Neodiprion lecontei: one gene and its partner. The protein of the gene in region 1 purifies or fractionates together with the protein of each later gene. This does not show direct contact. Links are inferred from orthologs where the notes say so. Each region holds a gene or a part of one and is shown on either strand. Other genes may lie near its edges.

Region 1 (4,835 bases):
TTCTCATCTGTATTTCCATTCTGATTGCGATCCGTTCAGTCTCCTCGCCAGTTTCTTTTTCTAATCTGTTATACTTTTTCGACAACTTGTTTCTACTCATGTTCCGTTTCACGTACGGCAGATAACGTCAGGCTCTTATGCGACCTTTCAAGTCTGTTTTTACTGTTATTATCAGCGCGATCTAAATCTTTCACATTCCTATGCTTGTCAGGCTCGCTTCTACGTGTTGAAACATTGGCATTGTAATCGTTTCAGTAAAGAATATAATAAAGGAAGAGGTACGGTCGGTCTGTCAGAATCTGAGCAAATCCATTGAAAGTAAATATAAACTGGGCAGTGAGGAGCTTTCTGTTCTCAGAACAGAGGCTAAGGATTTGGTTCAGACTTATGAAAACAGAGCTGAATCTCACATGGAATCATTGAATGTAATTATTCCTCTACAGTGTCTTTAGTTTCATCTTCTAAGAAATTTAACAAACGTTAAAAATCCAGGTCATCTTGGTCTTAGATTATCGCCACCTCTTCATCCGCGATTGTTGACAATTGTACTGTGAACCTGACATTGTTTTGCAGAACATTGTACGACAATTCATTGCAATTCCTGACAACGTTTTATTAGACGAGGATAAAGGTCAAGCTGTTCAGGTCAGCGAAGATGAATTCGAAGAACTGAAGACCAAGATGGACAATCTCCAAAAGAGAGCCGAAGGGGTCAGAATAAATTTCATGAAAATGTTTCCATGTAAAATACCACTTGGAAAACCTATACTCGTTATAAATTTAAATTGTACCCTTTGTTTCATTTAATCGAGGGTGATTTTTGATAGGTCACAATGTTCAACGCCGCTTTACGCCAAGAACTCGAACTTCAAAAAAGATTCAAGGCCTGCGAGGACGCGATAAACAATGCGAGCAGGGAGATTAAAGATAACACCGTTGTACCAAATTTGGATGACCAAATAACAGAATTCATCCAGCAATCGGAAAAACTTAGAATGCAGCTACCAATTCCTGAATCTCAATGCGAAAGGCACAAATACAATCCACCCTTGGAAAATCTTAAAGATTTTGATCTCGTATACCGTGAAACTTTAATTAATACTGCCAATGAATAGAGCAATCTTACTAAGATGTTATTTGTGGCCTATCAAAGTCTAGAAGAATCTTGAGCATATATGTATGTCTAGTTATATTTTTTTATACACAATTAGGTCATTAGATTTTTTTCAATAAAACTATCTGTTAAATCCTGGTTAATTTCATTTCCGAGTTAGCGAGTTGTCGCATGAAAAACATAAACTTAAACTTTGCGCTATCTTGATTATGCTACGCAAAGGTTGTTGCAACAGATAATCTATCAGCTGAGTTCGAACCTCTTGCAGTTTCAAGTTAAAAAATAATCGTAGTCCTTCAAAGAAACAGTTTCATTTGAATTTCTGTGTTACATTGGAATCATTTATTGAGATCTAAACTTGCTTGCATTATTCTGATTCTCGATCGTCAGAATTATCGATTGTATTAATACTCTACGATTTGTTTCCAATTATTATTGCTTTTGTCAGAATAGTTACCCATATTTAATTCAAGTCTTAACGTTATCGAGTTGATCCATCTACTATCCATTTGAGACTTCCCCGAATTTTTGTTCTCTTCGTTGTTTTCCTTTGAGCTATTATAAGATACACGAAATAATTTTATTTCTACGTATTCAGTACAAACTAATGTATAAAGTCACATCTTTTAGCCATGCCATATTGTTCACAACTCATCATCAACATGTCTGTTTACCAACGTTAAATATTAAATGATTAAATACACATGTTGATGCTCGATTGTTTCTAGAACGTTCGATTGGATTAGCAGATAATACCATTTGAAAATCATGTATTATCGAGTCGTCGAGTTCAGTCTATTTCTAATTTCACCGAATCGAGGGATTTCCGATGTCGTGAATTTGTTCAATGGTGGGGATGGCATGTAACATAAAACGGGGTCCATTGGAGATTAGAAAAGCTCGACAGCAGCTTTGCACAGTGTGCTTATTCGACAGTCGTCAGTTCCGACAGCGGACACGGAATTTTGTACTTTCCTCGCATGAACTTAAACCGATTGATTTATTAACATTTCTCCTAAAAGTTCCGTTTAAATCAAACGGCCAGTGCCAATGGAAACCGATTTGTTACAGAATCTGCAAGACGTTGGGTATGTGGGCAAGTTTTATAGGTTACACCAGTTACCGGCTGATGCAAAGCATTGCCGATTACTAACTTCACATGTGCAATATTTTAGGCTACTTTTTTGAGTAAGGAAACAAAGCTACTGAGTTTCCTCAGAAAATCAGCCTAATATGTTCGAAGTTATGAGGATGTTCAATATTATAAAAAAATTATTGGATAATCATATAGCCGAAAAAGATACCCAAACTTGAAGCTCCGAATTAAAGTAACGTTCACAATGTTATTTGTAAGATAATCAGCAAGTTTGTAAAGAGGATTTTGAACTCGCGTAAAAGATCTACTTAAATTTTGTGCTTGATTCCGCAGGTATAGCGGGGCTCTATCTGACGCGAATGAGTTGTCCAAAGCTTTGAAAGACGGCCCAAAGTCAGTGGAGTTCACTAAGCTGGTGGCGTGGCTGGCAGAAGAATTGTCTGCATTTGGAGAGGTGGATGACTCCGTAAACGCTATAACCACGCCAGAAGATTCGAGCCATTTTCTGCTCGAATTAAGTTCATTTCTCAAGGAATTAGGATGCGCGAATCAAAACCTCATTGGCGGTACTGTGAATCAGAGACTGAGTACAAAGTACGACAGACTCGTTTTACTAGATTATCTGGTAACCGAGCTGATGACCAGCAAGATATTAGGATCATTTAAATCTGACGCGGATCAACAGATGGAAGTAACAATTGTAAGTGTTGTAATTGTTATCAATGTCTAGTTGAATCTATCGATAGTGAATTCTGCTCCGTCTTAATTGGATAACTGTCATGTTGCCATTCTTTATTTTTACTTTCAGAACGAAAGCGACACAGCCAGACATCTCAAAAACATGTTGTTGGCATTGAAGTTTCAAAAACCTCCAGATAACATAAGCGCACAAATGCTGTTCACAAAACTAACTACTAAGTTGAAGGAAGTTGTGGCTCAGGCTCCCCCTGATCTACTCGATACGCCTTTATTTGTGGGCGAGCTATCGAACGACCAATGGGAACGGCTGAATGAACTCCAAGAAGAATTCAAGAACGAGTATAAAACCAGAAGGGAAATGTTACTCAAAAGATTGGATGTCACGGTGCAATCTTTTTTGGTAAAGCATTAAATAACGTCTCACAAAATTCTAGTAAATTTGATGAAATTATCTTATTTTGGAATAAACTAATAACAATCTTAATTTTACAGTGGTCAGAGAATATAAGGTCAAAGGAAGATCAGGTCAACGCATCCTACCAACAAAAACGGAATATCATGTCTCCCGAGCCAAGTGTTTGTATTGCTGATTTACTTGCCGCAAGACGAGATTTAGCCATAGTTGAAAAGACCAGCAATGCTACTGTACGAAAAAATACCAGGAGCCAAGTCAACCAAGTCATTATTGGGGCAGTGCCAGATCGTGGAGGAAGACCTTGCGACCAGCAACCACCTCCACCCGAAATGCCATCTTGGCAAAAAGACCGCGTTGCTGGGCCGAATTCGTCCAGGTAAAACGCGATCTCACAGTATTTTTGTTCATGGATTGGGGTTCTGTGACTTCGTGATACTTGTTTAAGCACATCAATTGAATATCGTTTCAAAATATTTTTCAGAGGAGGCAGAGGCGGAGGTGGCGGTGGCGGTGGCGGTGGATATCGGGACCACAAAGATGCTTCGAAAAATTTTGGCCAAAACCAAGACAGGTTTCAATCGCAGCAGCAATATCAGCAACAGCAACCACAGTATGAAAGTCGTGGTGATTACCGTGGTCATAATCAAGGAGGTGGAGAGTATCACAGAGGCGGTGGAAGAGGTAGAGTGCAAGGAGGATGGGGCGGAGACCGAGGTACAAGTGGCTATCAACGAGGGAATTCTAATCGCGGAAGAGGTCGAGGTGGACAGCACTATTAAGACAGTTGCGAGAAAAAAAAAAACGGCAACGTCTAAAATAGATGTTATAACGTGCCAGATTAAAATTCGAGTTAAACTTAAATCGTTAAATTTATATTTTGCTATTTCGTGAGATCTCTTTTGTTAATTTTATTTAGTTTGCGGTTCTTTATGTTTGATCAGACGCCTCATGGTTGTTAAGGTTGGTTCTTTACAGGTGCAAAGCTTGTATCAATTTTTTTGTGCTGCATTTCATCCTGATTCATAGTGAATTTGTTCATCACGTTTGCTCGAAATCGCGTTTTGTAATATGCTTACGGTTTCAACAACATACGGCACATAGCGTTTTGGAATTACCACTGAGTGAATCCTATGTTGGTTTTGAGGCATCGAATGAGATTTGGTTTTGGAAATGGGAATGGTGTTTTCAAGCATTTAGAATCTTTATAAATAGAGACAGCACAGTTCCCGCGCAGCTTCAGAGAGAGTAAATGGTACAGAATCGCTGTCTCATGAATCCTGTAAACCCCGCAAAGTAAGACTTCGTGAGATTGTTAATGCATTACCTTCATCTCTGTATTTCATCACACAATATTTTATTTCCCATTTAACCTGAACCAAAATATTCACATGGAATCATTAAAAAATATCGTTGATCATTCCTTCGGCAGCTGTGTTAAAAAGTATTTTGTGGTCAACCCAAGTTAAGAAATATCAGTTAATCGGTACTTTGCTCTGAAATTTGAGGTCCAC
Region 2 (4,354 bases), about 25 Mb from region 1:
GCCAATTCTAGCCTGTTTACGAATCTTCAAGGAACTATCAGCGAGGACGAAGCCTTGGCCAGGGCCTTACAAGCCTCTCTTCAAGATGAAGAAAATACCGGGAGGATCGAGTCTTGTCAAGAGGAAGAGATTCCACTCGGGAACAAAGGCAGATGCAGGCTCTCTTAGTTCTTTTATAATTTATAAACACGATATAACGGTGACGGCAACGAAGAACAGACGTGTTGAAATCCTGGTAGAATTACTTGTCAACTGCTGAAGATGCGTTTTTTTTTTTTTTTTTTTTTTTAAATCTTTTCTAGAATTAGGCATCAAATATCAATTAGTAGGCGGGTTCTTACGAGCTATGGATGATCAAAAAACTGGACGTTTTCAAAATCCTATTCTATAATTGAGCCTATTACGGGAGGAAACTGAATTTCTGTCTTTTTTCACATTAAATTAAGCTTTAGTTTTATAAATCTAAATATATGAGAATTTGAAAGAAATATTGAACTATGTATCTTTCATATAAGCTTTTTTTTCGTCAGTTGCTCTTAAGTCGTTTACATTCACTTTAAATTTTAAATCAAGTCTCCTCAACTATTATACATAAACATATCCTTATTAGTTATTCTATCCAATCATGAATTCTATTTCACCAAGTCTAGTTATAATCGCAATGATGTAACAAATTAAGACTTCTGATCGCTGTCTAGTGATTAATTAATTACGCAATTTTTTGTAAATAATTTAAAAATAATCTATATACACATTGCGAAAAATCACGTTCCAAACTGCCTCTGTACATTCGTCATGATAAATAGTTACTACCAGCTTTATTGTAACACAAAAAAGAAGAAACTGTGTTATGAAACGAGTAAAAAGTTCTTTACTTGCAAATTTTCCTCTACTCTTATCCATACAATAAATATTTATTATAAACATATTGTGAAATCTGAGTTATATTCTTATCCATTAAACTTAGGTTTCAAAGAATTCCTCACATCTAAATTCATTCGATATCAATACAAGCAAGTGAAAAAAGACAATCAACGAATGTAATGCGATTGTATATTATAATTATTTATTAGTTTTGACCTATCGTTACATTCCATTATTCAAATACGCCTAACATATGACGAATCAATTTGTCTATAAATAGCAGTACTTGGTTCATTGTTAGAAATTGATATCAATTATTGTTATCAAACAATATTAGCCAATGAACGTCAGCAAAATTTTTAACATCCCATTCGTGTGTGTAAATGTGCAATGGGAATCGTAATGACTAACTGTTTATCTTCCAACTTTTCCAAGCTTCGTATCAGTCCTTGGATTTGCAGTGATATTTTGAACACTGACAATTGTTTCATTTATTCGTGTTTGAAGGTCCCTCAAATCCTGAATGTACAGCAATCTCAAGATTTTTGCCGCATTATTCAGAACTGGATCTCCCATATTGAATCCCAACTCAGCTTCCAATATCGGAAACTCTTTTCCCTTTAACACTATCGATTTTGGATTTAATAAAGTTTCTGCATTCAGTCTCATGCAAACTATCTTACTGCACGCTTGCAGAGTTACAAGGTGATCTGAATGTCGAGGAATGCAAAGTAGCTTTCGTAATTCTTCAATTCCGTTCTTAAACTCTGCACTGTGAACTTTAATCATCGAAAATAGAATTAAAAAATGTGAATACCGGTATTTGTCATGTTCGTAAGTTCAAAAAGTTTTGTCTGAAATATAATACTCACAGTCCAGATTGTCTAACGGGTTTGATGATTTTATGTTGGGTGCTACCGGTTTATTCATATCTTTCAAACTCTTGCCTGTTATCGGTTGATACTTTTTATCTGCAATAGTTTGAATTGAATGAAACTCAAATTTTCGTAAGTGCCTGAAAATAGAATTCAGTAGTACCCAAACAAACATGGTACGGTTCTTACAGTTATCCTCGAACTCCAGTTTGATGGCAAACCCGATCAACCATTCGAGCTGATCCACGGGCTGGGTAGTTATCGGACAAGCGACGTCCTCGCAATATCTCTTGAACGTTTCGGGCCAACTGGTTGAATTTATATCTCTGATGTCCTTTCGATCTTCAATTTTGTAGTGACGTATCTTTTGGTCTTCGAGCCAGACGACCAGTTTGCGAAAGTGTTGTGGGTCTAAAGACGATATTATTGAAATTTCAGAAAAATTGTTATCGCTCTTGTGAGAGACCGGAGGTTAAATTTTTGTATGTGTACCGGCTAACCGGTTGCGACTCACCATTCGCGTTTATCTTATCCCGGTCTATGTAATCTAGCGCTTTTAATTTTCTCTTAAACATTTTATAAGTGGAAAATTACGCGGTTATAATTTATTTACAATTCTTATTTAACGGCAAGACAAAGTACACCTGAAAGTCAGTGCTATACCGCAATTATCGACGGAGTAAACATTGTAAGGAAGTGAACGCCAAAGAGTATGTGAAGGCATGAAATTCACTCAACACCCCGCGAACGAGTCGATAGTTGGGATCGTGACTTGTTAGAAGTTTTCGACTGTAAAATATGGCGCGTTTTCACGCATGTCCCTGGATACACTTGTGAGTCGTTATTCTAAGGCAATGAATCGAGTTCATGCCAAGGCAGCTGGCAGCAGCGCCCCGATCAACGGTTTCAAACTTTGAAACGAGAAAAGCGTTATTCAACGCCGAAGGCGGTGCAAAAACGGGCAAAACAGCGGGAGCAAGCAACGATAGCGGGAAAAGAGACGGGTGACAGATTTTAATTAGCCGTCAAATAATTCTGATCCGTCAGTGAAAATTGTCGTCGGTTATCGCGGATCGGTTCAACGCTGTCTACGACGTTCCTGTGGTTCTGGAAAGGTAAACATGGTGCGGAAGAGGAAGCACAGCAGCGACGAGAGCGGCATGCCGGCACCCCAACGACAATTCCAACGCCTCACTCGAAAGCGTAAGCAATAAGCATGTCAATATTAACACGCGCCGTTAGATTGCCCTCTCAAATCGGACGGCGAGAAATGGAAAGAGTTCCTCGCCATCCCTAACCAATGGATCGTCTCCGTTAAAATTTCAGATCAGCGGACACTTATCGACGATGACAACGAGAATGCGGAAGCTTTGCCGGCGGCGATGTCGAACACCTCCTCAAAGACTATGAAAACACCGTCAACCGCATCGGGACGCAATCGAAAAAGTACAAATAAACGTCTTACTTTCCTTCAGTGTTTTATCTTGTACAACTGTATCTCATCATATGATTGTCCAACTTTTGATAACAGGGTGACCGAACTTGGCACTGTTGTTTATTTAATCTTGCATTAAAAGGGGAAAGGAAAATCAGTCAATCAGAAATTATCCTCATACAACTTTTGTGATTAAGATCAAAGTATTTTGAAAACAAGTTTGTCCTATTTTCCATGATTATAATATTAATACCGTTCTTCCTATATAATTTAAATATATTACTGTTCTGTTGCAGGTGCCTTGCCAGAGAACGCAGGCAACACTGCTGTGTCGACTAGTAAGATGAATTTGTCGCTTGTCACAACGTTCGGTTCAGGATGTCCAGCATATTAAAGGATCTGAGAATCTCAGAGAATTCAATAATTGTTTACTCGCTGGACAGCCTGAAGCTTTATTTCTTATATCGAGTGAGAATATCTTTCATACCTGATTTACAAAACTTTCAGGAAGCCGTAGACGGAAGCCTACAAAAAGCTCGAGCGATTCCGATAGTGAGAACAAGGCTGAGTCGCCGATTGGACAATTGAAACTTGACAAAGTTAATACTTTGCAAGAGCCGGAGATAGCAAATCGTCCATTAAGGTCGAGGTTGCGGAAAGAAATGAATGACAACATTAGCGGAACATCCGTGGCGGAATTAAAACCGCAGCAGCGTAACGTAACGGATAGAAAAAAACGGGTATTGGCTGTGGCAGACAACACGTTGACTGAAAATTGGCTGGTTCTAATCGAAACCCCTGTAAAGTTAACTAGGTTACAAGCGAAGACCTTTTCGGCGAAAAAAAAACCTGATCCTAGCTACCACAGTAAATTGCCAGGGCAAAGTGACGAAATTCAGGATGCAGATGAGAATAAAAATCGAGAGGAATATCGAAAAGTTAAAGAGACACCAAGGAAATCGTTTTCGAAGGAACAGGAACAGAGTTTGCCGCTTGGCATTGTCCCTATCGACACAGTAACGCCTGAGAGCAGTCCGATGTTAGTTACCTTGACACCGCACAGGTCTTCCAAAACGCCAAAAAAATCCCCGCTCAACATTGGCTCACCCAAGACGCACTCTTACTCACCGTTACGGCTTTCCAAGACACCGAGGAAGCTGCCGATAACTGTCGAATCGCC

The links.
Region 2: the proteins of protein FAM98A (region 1) and RNA transcription, translation and transport factor protein purify together in Homo sapiens (affinity purification with mass spectrometry; 4 studies listed by BioGRID and IntAct, with this or other methods). This does not show direct contact. The link is inferred for Neodiprion lecontei from reciprocal best matches to the Homo sapiens genes FAM98A and RTRAF.

Annotation. Positions count from the first base shown.
Region 1 is NC_060266.1:24,793,117-24,797,951, forward strand, and holds protein FAM98A, read left to right. Parts: upstream 1-1,926; 5' UTR 1,927-2,164; coding exon 2,165-2,202; intron 2,203-2,543; coding exon 2,544-2,910; intron 2,911-3,018; coding exon 3,019-3,309; intron 3,310-3,401; coding exon 3,402-3,700; intron 3,701-3,805; coding exon 3,806-4,103; 3' UTR 4,104-4,154; downstream 4,155-4,835. Other genes in the region: protein MIS12 homolog, read left to right, coding at 256-425, 574-711, 828-1,115. UniProt on the Homo sapiens protein: Positively stimulates PRMT1-induced protein arginine methylation. Involved in skeletal homeostasis. Positively regulates lysosome peripheral distribution and ruffled border formation in osteoclasts.
Region 2 is NC_060266.1:183,691-188,044, reverse strand, and holds RNA transcription, translation and transport factor protein, read right to left. Parts: upstream 2,438-4,354; 5' UTR 2,315-2,437; coding exon 2,254-2,314; intron 2,151-2,253; coding exon 1,929-2,150; intron 1,836-1,928; coding exon 1,737-1,835; intron 1,644-1,736; coding exon 1,279-1,643; 3' UTR 531-1,278; downstream 1-530. Other genes in the region: AN1-type zinc finger protein 2A, read left to right, coding at 1-168; probable serine/threonine-protein kinase nek3, read left to right, coding at 2,861-2,942, 3,066-3,185, 3,471-3,512, 3,682-4,354. UniProt on the Homo sapiens protein: RNA-binding protein involved in modulation of mRNA transcription by Polymerase II. Component of the tRNA-splicing ligase complex and is required for tRNA ligation.